Ovis aries: one gene and its partners. Each later gene encodes a partner of the first gene's protein in a complex. Links are inferred from orthologs where the notes say so. Each region holds a gene or a part of one and is shown in the gene's direction. Other genes may lie near its edges.

Region 1 (3,324 bases):
GCTGCTGTACTGCTGGTCAACAGACCACACTTTTTTGAGTATCAAGAGTCTGGAAGACATTGCAGAGAATATGTATGTAGTTTTAGAGCCAGAGTTTAGACTTCTCCTGCTCCCATACTTCCTGGCTGTATAACCTTAGACAAGTCATTTTACTTCTCTGAGCCTGCTTCTGTCACCAGCGGAATATAGTGAATAACAGTAGCCAACACTTACTGAATGCTTACAATGTACCAGGAACTAATGATTCATATTCATCAACTTATGAATAGGACTTAAGTTAAACAACCTGACCAATGTGGGTACAAGAAACCCAGATCTTATTCTAGGTAGCTTGATTCAAGAACCTGGTGTTTAATCACTGTATAAGACTGCCTTTTCAGCAGAGTTCCCAGAGCCATGATGAGAATTAAACAATTACTGGTATTTAGCTCACATTTATTGAGCACTCATATGCCCAAGACTCCAGTGTAAGCTCCCTTGGGAGCATATTAACTCATTTATCTTCACGGCAGACCTGGGAGGTAATATTTGCAACCCCATCTTACAGGTTTAAGAATAGGCACAAACAAGTTACACAGCCGAAGGTCAAACACCAGAGCGGTCAAGGTCGGAACCCCGGCGGTCTAACAGCTGAGCCCCGCGCTCTTCTGCCATCAGCCAGGAGAGAAGGTGGCCCTGGGCTCCGGAGACCAGACTTGAAGTCGCCAGGATGGGGGCACAGCCGCGCCCCTTCAGGGCGGTCTAACCGCCAGACCCGCTCGCTCCCAAAGAAAACAAAGTCTCCGTCTCCACTTAGCTTTCTGTACATCCCCAGGTGAAGTGCCCACACCCGGGGGCACACCATGAACAGGTGTCAAGGCTCTGGTGAAAATGACTGGCTAAACAACTTGAGAACTGACTTTTACACACACTAAAACTAACAGTCGCTCCCGGGCCCGCTTAGTCCGCGGCCCCCTAACTTGCCCAGCTCGCACAGGACCACCCCCTCCCGCAGGGGCATCCTGGGAGCCAAGGTCCCAATCAGGCCTCGGAATTCGTAGATTCGGCTCCGCCTACCTCCGGGCTCCACCCCAAAGGCTGCCTCTAATCTCATCTGCTCTCTAACACCGCCCTCTGCCGGCCGTTCCTCGGGTAGCCCGCTCCTTGAGCCCCTTCCGGGTGCCCCGGAAGCGGAACTTTCTCTTCCGGGTCGAGCGTCCGGGAAGTCGCACGTGTCTGGGGTGCCGCGGCTTTAACCCTTGTAGGAGGAGTCGTGACTAGAACTGTCTCCCAGAGGTAGCGAGCCGAACCGGAGCCATGGAGGGCCAGAGCGTGGAGGAGCTGCTGGCAAAGGCGGAGCGGGACGAGGCAGAGAAGCTACAGCGCATCACGGTGCAGAAGGAATTGGAGCTGGAGTTCGACCTGGGTAATTTGCTGGCCTCTGACCGGAACCCCCCGACCGGGCTGCGGCACGCGGGACCCACACAGGAGGCCGAGCTGAGGGCCCTGGCGCGGGACAACACGCAGCTGCTCATCAACCAGCTGTGGCAGCTGCCTACCGAGCGCGTGGAGGAGGCGCTGGTGGCACGGCTGCCGGAACCCAGCACTCGTCTGCCGCGCGAGAAGCCGGTGCCCAGGCCGCGGCCTCTTACTCGCTGGCAGCAGTTTGCGCGCCTCAAGGGCATCCGTCCCAAGAAGAAAACCAATCTGGTGTGGGACGAGGTGAGCGGCCAGTGGCGCCGCCGCTGGGGCTACCAGCGAGCCCGCGACGACACCAAGGAGTGGCTGATCGAGGTGCCGGGCAATGCCGACCCCATGGAGGACCAGTTCGCCAAGCGGATTCAGGCTAAGAAGGAACGGGTGGCCAAGAACGAACTGAACCGGCTGCGTAACCTGGCCCGCGCGCACAAGATGCAGCTGCCCAGCGCGGCCGGCATGCACCCTACTGGACACCAGAGTAAGGAGGAGCTGGGCCGCGCCATGCAGGTGGCCAAGGTCTCCACTGCCTCTGTGGGGCGCTTCCAGGAGCGCCTGCCCAAGGAGAAGGCGCCCAGGGGCTCTGGCAAGAAGAGGAAGTTTCAGCCTCTTTTCGGGGACTTTGCGGCCGAGAGAAAGAGCCAGTTGGAGATGCTGCGAGTGATGAACAGCAAAAAGCCTCAGTTGGACATTACGAGGGCCACCAATAAGCAGATGAGAGAGGAGGACCAGGAGGAGGCGGCCAAGCGGAGGAAAATGAGTCAGAAGGGCAAGAGAAAGGGGGCCCGACAGGGTCCCGGGGGTAAGAGGAAGGGGGGCCCGCCCAGCCAAGGAGGGAAGAGGAAAGGGGGTTTGGGAGGCAAGATGAATTCCGGACCTCCCGGCCTGAGTGGCAAGAGAAAAGGGGGGCAACACCAAGGAGGAAAGAGGAGGAAGTAAATTTCATCCTTGGACCTTCTCCTAAACCAAGAACTGTACTTAATGCTAAGTTCTAGATACAGTACCCAGATGCACAAGATTTGGCCACTGCCTTCACTGAGCTTGAGGTTAAAGGGCCAGGTTTACCCTCCTCTGAAGATGATATGTAAATGTTGGACTGGACAAATTAATGTATTTCCCACAACCAAAACTCTGGCTGGAGATTAAAGGTTGTATTTAAGAACATCTGAATTAGGGAAAGAATCTGTGAAAACTAGGAATGAGTTTTACTTTTAAACAGCCTTTTTTTTCCCTCTCTTTAAACTTTGGATGGGGTTTAAGGGAGAGACTTAACAGCTGGTTTCTGCATTATTTTGATGACAAGTTTGTGTATTTATCAAAGCATGTGGGAACAGAAAGGTTACATTTTAAGTAAAACCAATGACCTGGATACCTGGTACAGATTATTTTCATTTACTTTCTAGAAAACATAGCAGTTACATTATGATTTCAGCAAGACCACTTTTATTAGAAAAACTCATCCTGCTTTCGGTGTCAGATATAATACTGAAAGTGTGTCTCTTTCAAAAACAAAATTTGATGCTTTTCAACACTGAAAACATTAATTTGCTGTAAATGATAAATTTGGACTTCACTAAATAATGGTAATAATCCTCAATCTCAGTTTTTTTTTTTTTTTTTTTAATGTTTATTTATTTGGCTGTGCTGGGTCTTAGTTGCAGTATGTGGGATCTAGTTCCCAGACTAGGGATTGAACCCAGGTCCCCTGTATCGGGAGTGTGGAATCCTGGCCACTGGACCACTAGGGAAGTCCTAATCCTAATTTTATACTTAAATCTTTATCAGTATTTATATCCCAGGTGTTTTTTTTTTAAGCTTCAAGTGGGATCTGTTTGGGGAAGAGAGAAAGAAACCTACAAAATCCTTACT
Region 2 (3,500 bases), on another chromosome or scaffold:
ATTTCTGTGGTTGATTTTTTAATGTTAAAATGTGAATAGTAAAACTTTTTTTTCCCCCTTCGATTTAGTGAATGCAGTAGTAGAGCAGTATCTATATTCAACAAAGAAGGGTGTTTGGAGATTGTATTAAAGTATTTAAGTAGGTTTTCCACCAATGTTGACCTGGCTATTTCAGTAGGTAAGTAAAGAAAAGTTTGTGTGCCCTTATTCAAAATTTTTTATTCAGACATAACTTATTTATTCTATGGCAGTGATTTTTTTTCTCATTGTATATAAATGCATCACTGAGTTCTATTCTGAATCTTTTAAAATGTGTGATTAATTCTTTACTTACTCATGCAGTTTTCCTGCTCTTGTCTCTAAGAGGGAGGAAAAGGATTATGTGAGCATATGTGGTTTCTAATGCCTGAACATTCTTGGAAGTTTTTATTAACTCTTGAAAGTTTTCATCTCCCATTTACAGAGAAGCAGTAACCCACAACTGCCAGGCCTTGAGCCAAAGTTAATTGGAATGTAGACGATAACCTCTGCTCTTTTTGAGAGAGGAAGATAAGTGATTGCAATTTCATATAGGCCTGCTTCCCTTCCAGACAGGGAAGGCAAGAGTCTGGCAGCGTTAGCAGCCTTGGCTCCCTCGCTTTCTATGCGTGGGGTTACAAGCCACTGGGGGCCCTCACTCAGCAGAGGGAGGAGACAAACCAGGGGGTGGGTTCTGTTTCAACAGAACGCGGGGGGTGAGTGGAGAAATAATGGATAAGAAGTGTTTTTTATTCAACCCTTCATAACGATAGGCATCTGTCCTTTTATTTAACTACACATTTCTCCTGGCAAGGACAAGTTTATTCCCCTTACTGAAGTGTATTCCCCTTACCAATGTTTCTCTTGGCTCTAGTGGAAATAGAACAGAGAAGGAAAAAATAATAGTGGAATAAATACTATTGGGAAAAATTTTTTAATCAGTTTCTCAGAATGGGATATTTGGCAGAGGGGAGACTTGTGAGTAAATGTGGATTTTAAAAACACTTGAACTAGAAAATTGGCAGGTGACTTTCAGTCTCAGAGGACAGTCTTTATTACAATAAGAGTTTCAGGAAAGTTCATAGCTTTGAAAAGAAAAACTTCACTTCTGTTTTTTGGGCCTTAAGTTTTGTGGATTTGGTTATTTCTTTTTTTTCCTAAAGAACTTTTAAAAAAGGGGATCAGAATAAAGTAACTTTACAGTGTATAGCAGTATTTTCTTTGGCACTTAGCTAGGTTCATAACTCTTTTAAGGCAAATGTCAGATTGCTTCTGTTTTGAAAATCAAGCAAAGCTTATATATAGTAAAGTGAAATACTGAAATTCCATACTATGTATTAATATAGCTTTCTTTGGACTCGTGCTGTCTTAGCAATCACAACTTACCTTAGCTTTTTGTTAAAGTGAATTTAATTAGTCTCTTAATGAAAAAAAATTACACTTGAATATATGTATATATACATATATGCATACATATGGATTTATATATAAATGTATTTTGGAATGCAGACTAGAGCACAATAATAACATGTATTTTGACTACTAATTTGGATGGAAATGATCTGCTTTGAAATTTTTAGACCTGGATAGAAATGGATTTTATAGAATGCAGTATCTCAAAGAAAATAAATTTGGGCTTCCTCATTTGTGCGTCAGAGGTCTCTTCTGTCAAGCTTTTCATGCAGTCCCAGTTGTTTTATACTTGCAGTTAATTATTTCTAATTTACAAGTTATAATCCATGATCTTGTTTTAATTGCGAGAGAAGAGTTAAGTGCTAAATGAACCCTATGTCTATTAACACTTTACCTATCTCTTAATTTACTCATTTTTATATAAAATACCATTTTTATTTAATGTGCTATATCATAAATTAACTTTTAAGATCATGCAGAATTTTTTAAATGTCTCCAAACCTGGGACTTGTCATAGACAACAGTTTTCCATGCACTGGTGTTCAGCCTACAGGCTGTTTGCTACTGGTCTGTGACGAGTACAGAAATTGAAGCTAAATCTTTGTAAATGTTTATAGTAATTCCACGTTGTCACGGCAATTGAGAGCCTTTTCATTTATAAAAGTATAGTTCTGTAAAGGATTATAAGTTAAGAAAAAAGAAAAGTCTTTTATAACTTTGATAATTTGGGAAGCCTCATTTGCACAAACTATGTTTGAGGAAAAGGGTGAGTCTCCTACAAAATGTGTCCAGAGAAGTTGTAAAGATGCAAGTTTTTTTGATGAGTCATTTTGGTTTAAATTATCCTAGCGGAATTCACTTGTTTCTGAATATTTGATTTTTGTCTCTATAGCATATTGTTTGCAGACGGTGACCGAAGATAACCCAGAGCTACTGAAATCTTTCAGTACCCCAGCATTGCATGTGCTGGAATCAGCAATGCTTTCTCCTGTCAATTCCATGGAGTATCTTCTATTGAAGACATTGGTGGCAGGTAAAAGTTAACCACTTGCGATAGTGTGCATTTTAGTAACTTGTAGCAGGCAGAAATGGAGAGGCCAAAATTCAATCAATCCCCCATTTCACCACATCAGGACTTTCTGTGCTTATGTCTGTTCTCAAATTTTTAATATTTAAATGGAAACCTTTAATTCAAGCGATTCTGCATAATTTCAGAGCCTTAGAAGATTAGACGTGTTTTCAATTTAATAGCTCCTGTTGTCTGATAGAGAAATTGTGCTGTCAGGACCCCCTCTTATTTTTGAAGCAGTGAGTTCAGAAGTTGACTGCAGGCATCTAAGACATGACCACTCACTTTCCTATAAGATCTTCACCCCCAGTGCCTCTCCCCAGAATTTCTAAATACAGAAATAATCTGATGGCGTGTAAGTAGTAGGTAACTTACTGTGTATTTTCCTTTTGCCCTTTGTTTGGGCTTCAAGGGTAGTTATCTTGAGAGATGTTTTGTATTTTCCCTAAATTGATAAAATACGCACAAAATAAAATTTACCATCTTAACCATTGTTGAAGTTTTTCTTTTTTTGGCTACGCTGCTCTGCTTGCGGGATCTTTAGTTTCCCAACCAGGGATTGAACCTGGCCTCCACAGTGAAAGCACCAAATCCTAGCCGCTAGACCAGCAGAGAGCTCCCTGGCTTCTTAACCATTTTTTTTTTTAATTGGAGGATAATTGCTCTATGATATTTCTTAAACATCTTTACGGAGAAGGCAACGGCACCCCACTCCAGTACTCTTGCCTGGAAAATCCCATGGATGGAGGAGCCTGGTGGGCTGCAGTCCATGGGTTCGCTAAGAGTCAGACACGACTGAGCGACTTCACTTTCACTTTTCACTTTCATGCATTGGAGAAGGAAATGGCAACCCACTCCAGTGTTCTTGCCTGGAGAATCCCAGGGACGGGGGAGCCTGGTGGGCTGCTGTCTCTGGGGTCGCACAGAGTCGGACATGACTGAAGCGACGCAGCAGCAGCAGCAGCAGCAGCAAGCATCTTTAAGTGTACAGTTAAGTATA
Region 3 (2,632 bases), on another chromosome or scaffold:
CTCATGCTCCCTGCAGTGGAAGTGTGGAGTGCTAGCCACTGGCCCACCAGGGAATTCCCAAGATTTAGTCTTGATACGAGTTCAGCATGATAAATACAGTTTATTTGAGATATGAAAGATGTAGAGGCGATTGCAGAATAAAAAATAAAAACCTGTGATATAAGAGTTACATGGTCACTGCCCCTGTATGCTTTGAGTGAAATATTAAGGACAATGGCATGATGTCAGCCATCTTCAGCTCCTAAAAATGTTTTCCCCTCAGTAGGCCAGAGACAAGCCTTCCCTCAGGTCTCTTCTCCCAGAATCCCCATGAGGAGAGTGGCTTAAGAGCCGTTATTTAAGCTCCTTTTTTCCCTGTGCTTGCTCCCTTAAAGCCCCATACTAACATTTATTTTATCTTTTAATGTTTGTATGTTTTTGTTTGTTTAACATTTCTGCTCTTTACATATCCTAGGCTGTGGGGTTTTTTGTTTCGTTTTTCCTTTTTGCCTTGTTTAGTTGAGTGTGAACTACTGTGTCTGATACAGCATACCTATCTCTGTGACTCTTGCAGAAGCCAGTAAAAGCACTTCCTGTAAGTGGACTGTATTGGTTGGTTGTCTTCATGTGACGCAGGGCTTTTAATAAGGTTTTACACACTTCACTCCTGCTTCCTGGTATTTTCTTATTCCTGGGTATTACTTACTCTGCTTTCCTCTTCTTTCTCTTCTCTGTGTCACTTGTTACTTCTTTCTCATCCTGACTTTTATGTGAAAAGGCTCATCTTTTCTGAACATTATTATTTAGTCCTTTTCTGTGTGGAGATCTGATCACTGTAACAAATTTGAGTCTTTCAGCACAAATAACCTTCAAGTCTTTGAGCAGTTCTTACAATGTCACTCCCCCAAAAAAGAATTAAATGAATCTCCCTTCTTCCCCGCGCTGTATTCTTCATATGCTTTCGGATCCAAGGTTATTTATACATATGGTATCCAGAAAGTCATGGTTTTGTTACGTTCATTCCGATCTATAGAGATCAGTGTCTGTGCTTTGGAGAAAAGTTTATTCTGAATGGATCTTAGAGAAATAAGAATTTGTTAATTATGTAAATATAATGTCTTAAAGATCCACTTAAAATTGTTAATATAATTATGTAAACCTTAAATAAAGACATCAAATAAAAGATTCCACTTCTTAGGAGACTATCTGTATATAAAGTATTAAAATTAGGCTTTCCAAACATTTTGTTATTTTATGGAACTGTAATTCTCTAGAACAAAAGTATTTGGAGGAATGGGATTTTGATTATCAAAGTCAAAGCAACATTTCTTTTTGCTATTTCATAAAGGTTGCTGTTGAAGAAATCTGGCTGTAGAACACCACGGATTGAATTGGAAGAGATGGGACCCTCGTTGGATTTGGTTCTGAGGCGGACACACCTAGCATCAGATGACCTTTATAAATTATCTATGAAAATGCCCAAAGCCCTGAAGGTACATGACTTGCAGATTGGTGCCATGTTTATTTGTATATTCCTCTCTTCTTTCCAAAAAGGATTTGTAGCATATTACATTAAAGGACATATATAAACAGATCAATATAATAGATAAAATTAGACTTTCAGAGCCAAAGAAAGAAGGAAGAAGCAAATAAGCCAATCATAAAGGATAATAAAATTGTAGAAACCAAGCATCAAGTGTTGCTGAGTGCTTCCTGGTAGCCAAGACTGCCAGTTTTCAGCAAAAATAGGTCTCATTTTGGGCATTGTGAAAATGTAATTTCAAGCCTAGGATGTATAACCCATACTTCCATAAAATGTATTTTGACTTTTGAATGGTTTTAAAAAGCAAGTAGAAATGGCATCTCTGGAATGCCAGTAAATATTTGAAATGATAGTCATAATCCTTAAGCTAAACATAAGAACTTCTCTCAGTGCATGACAATGATTAGTTTCTTCGGTTGAAGTTGTTAAACAATAGTTGTTGTACACTAGATTTTTATCAGTTCATAATAGTAGACTCAACTGTTTTTTCATATATTACTATTTCATAGCCAAAGAAGAAGAAAAATATCTCTCATGATACTTTTGGTACAACTTATGGAAGAATTCATATGCAAAAGCAAGACCTAAGCAAACTACAAACCAGGAAAATGAAGGGGCTGAAGAAGCGACCTGCAGAAAGGAAAGCAGAAGAGGAGGAGAACAAATCAAAGAGAATTAAAAAGAATTGATGGAATTTAGCCAATAGCTGCATTTTTATTGTAGTTATGAAGCATCCATTGTTTCAGAGTTTCTTATAAGGTGTTATTATATATTTTTATAACGATAATTTACCTAAACTATATATATTATATACATTATGAACAGTAACATAGTAGTATTAGGTTGAAAGTTATACTCTTACTGGAGATATTATACCCAGGTATGCCATTTTCTTTCTGTGATGTGACATTACCCTCTGCCCACGCCCTACAATGTCCCCTGTCTCATTGGGTGGATAAGTGAGGAAGGATCCCCAGAACAACCAGTGGTATTTTAGAGAATTTTGAGTTAAGCCTTAAATAAAGGGAAGAAGTCATGGAAAGTGTAAATGTTCCAAAGTAACTGTATACATGCTCAGTGTGAGCTGCCTGGAAACGTGACCCCATCTCC

Evidence for each region. Proteins that work in one complex are often made in the same cells at the same time.
Region 2: RRS1 (region 1) and HEATR3 share a complex: the UniProt entries of both Homo sapiens proteins name them as parts of the hexameric 5S RNP precursor complex. The link is inferred for Ovis aries from reciprocal best matches to the Homo sapiens genes RRS1 and HEATR3.
Region 3: RRS1 (region 1) and RPF2 share a complex: the UniProt entries of both Homo sapiens proteins name them as parts of the hexameric 5S RNP precursor complex. The link is inferred for Ovis aries from reciprocal best matches to the Homo sapiens genes RRS1 and RPF2.

What each region holds. Positions count from the first base shown.
Region 1 is NC_056062.1:43,655,164-43,658,487, forward strand, and holds RRS1 (ribosome biogenesis regulatory protein homolog), read left to right. Parts: upstream 1-1,179; 5' UTR 1,180-1,296; coding exon 1,297-2,394; 3' UTR 2,395-2,824; downstream 2,825-3,324. UniProt on the Homo sapiens protein: Involved in ribosomal large subunit assembly. May regulate the localization of the 5S RNP/5S ribonucleoprotein particle to the nucleolus.
Region 2 is NC_056067.1:18,022,502-18,026,001, forward strand, and holds part of HEATR3 (HEAT repeat-containing protein 3), read left to right. Parts: intron 1-68; coding exon 69-178; intron 179-2,323; coding exon 2,324-2,464; intron 2,465-3,500. UniProt on the Homo sapiens protein: Plays a role in ribosome biogenesis and in nuclear import of the 60S ribosomal protein L5/large ribosomal subunit protein uL18 (RPL5). Required for proper erythrocyte maturation.
Region 3 is NC_056061.1:26,646,697-26,649,328, reverse strand, and holds part of RPF2 (ribosome production factor 2 homolog), read left to right. Parts: intron 1-1,327; coding exon 1,328-1,472; intron 1,473-2,031; coding exon 2,032-2,211; 3' UTR 2,212-2,632. UniProt on the Homo sapiens protein: Involved in ribosomal large subunit assembly. May regulate the localization of the 5S RNP/5S ribonucleoprotein particle to the nucleolus.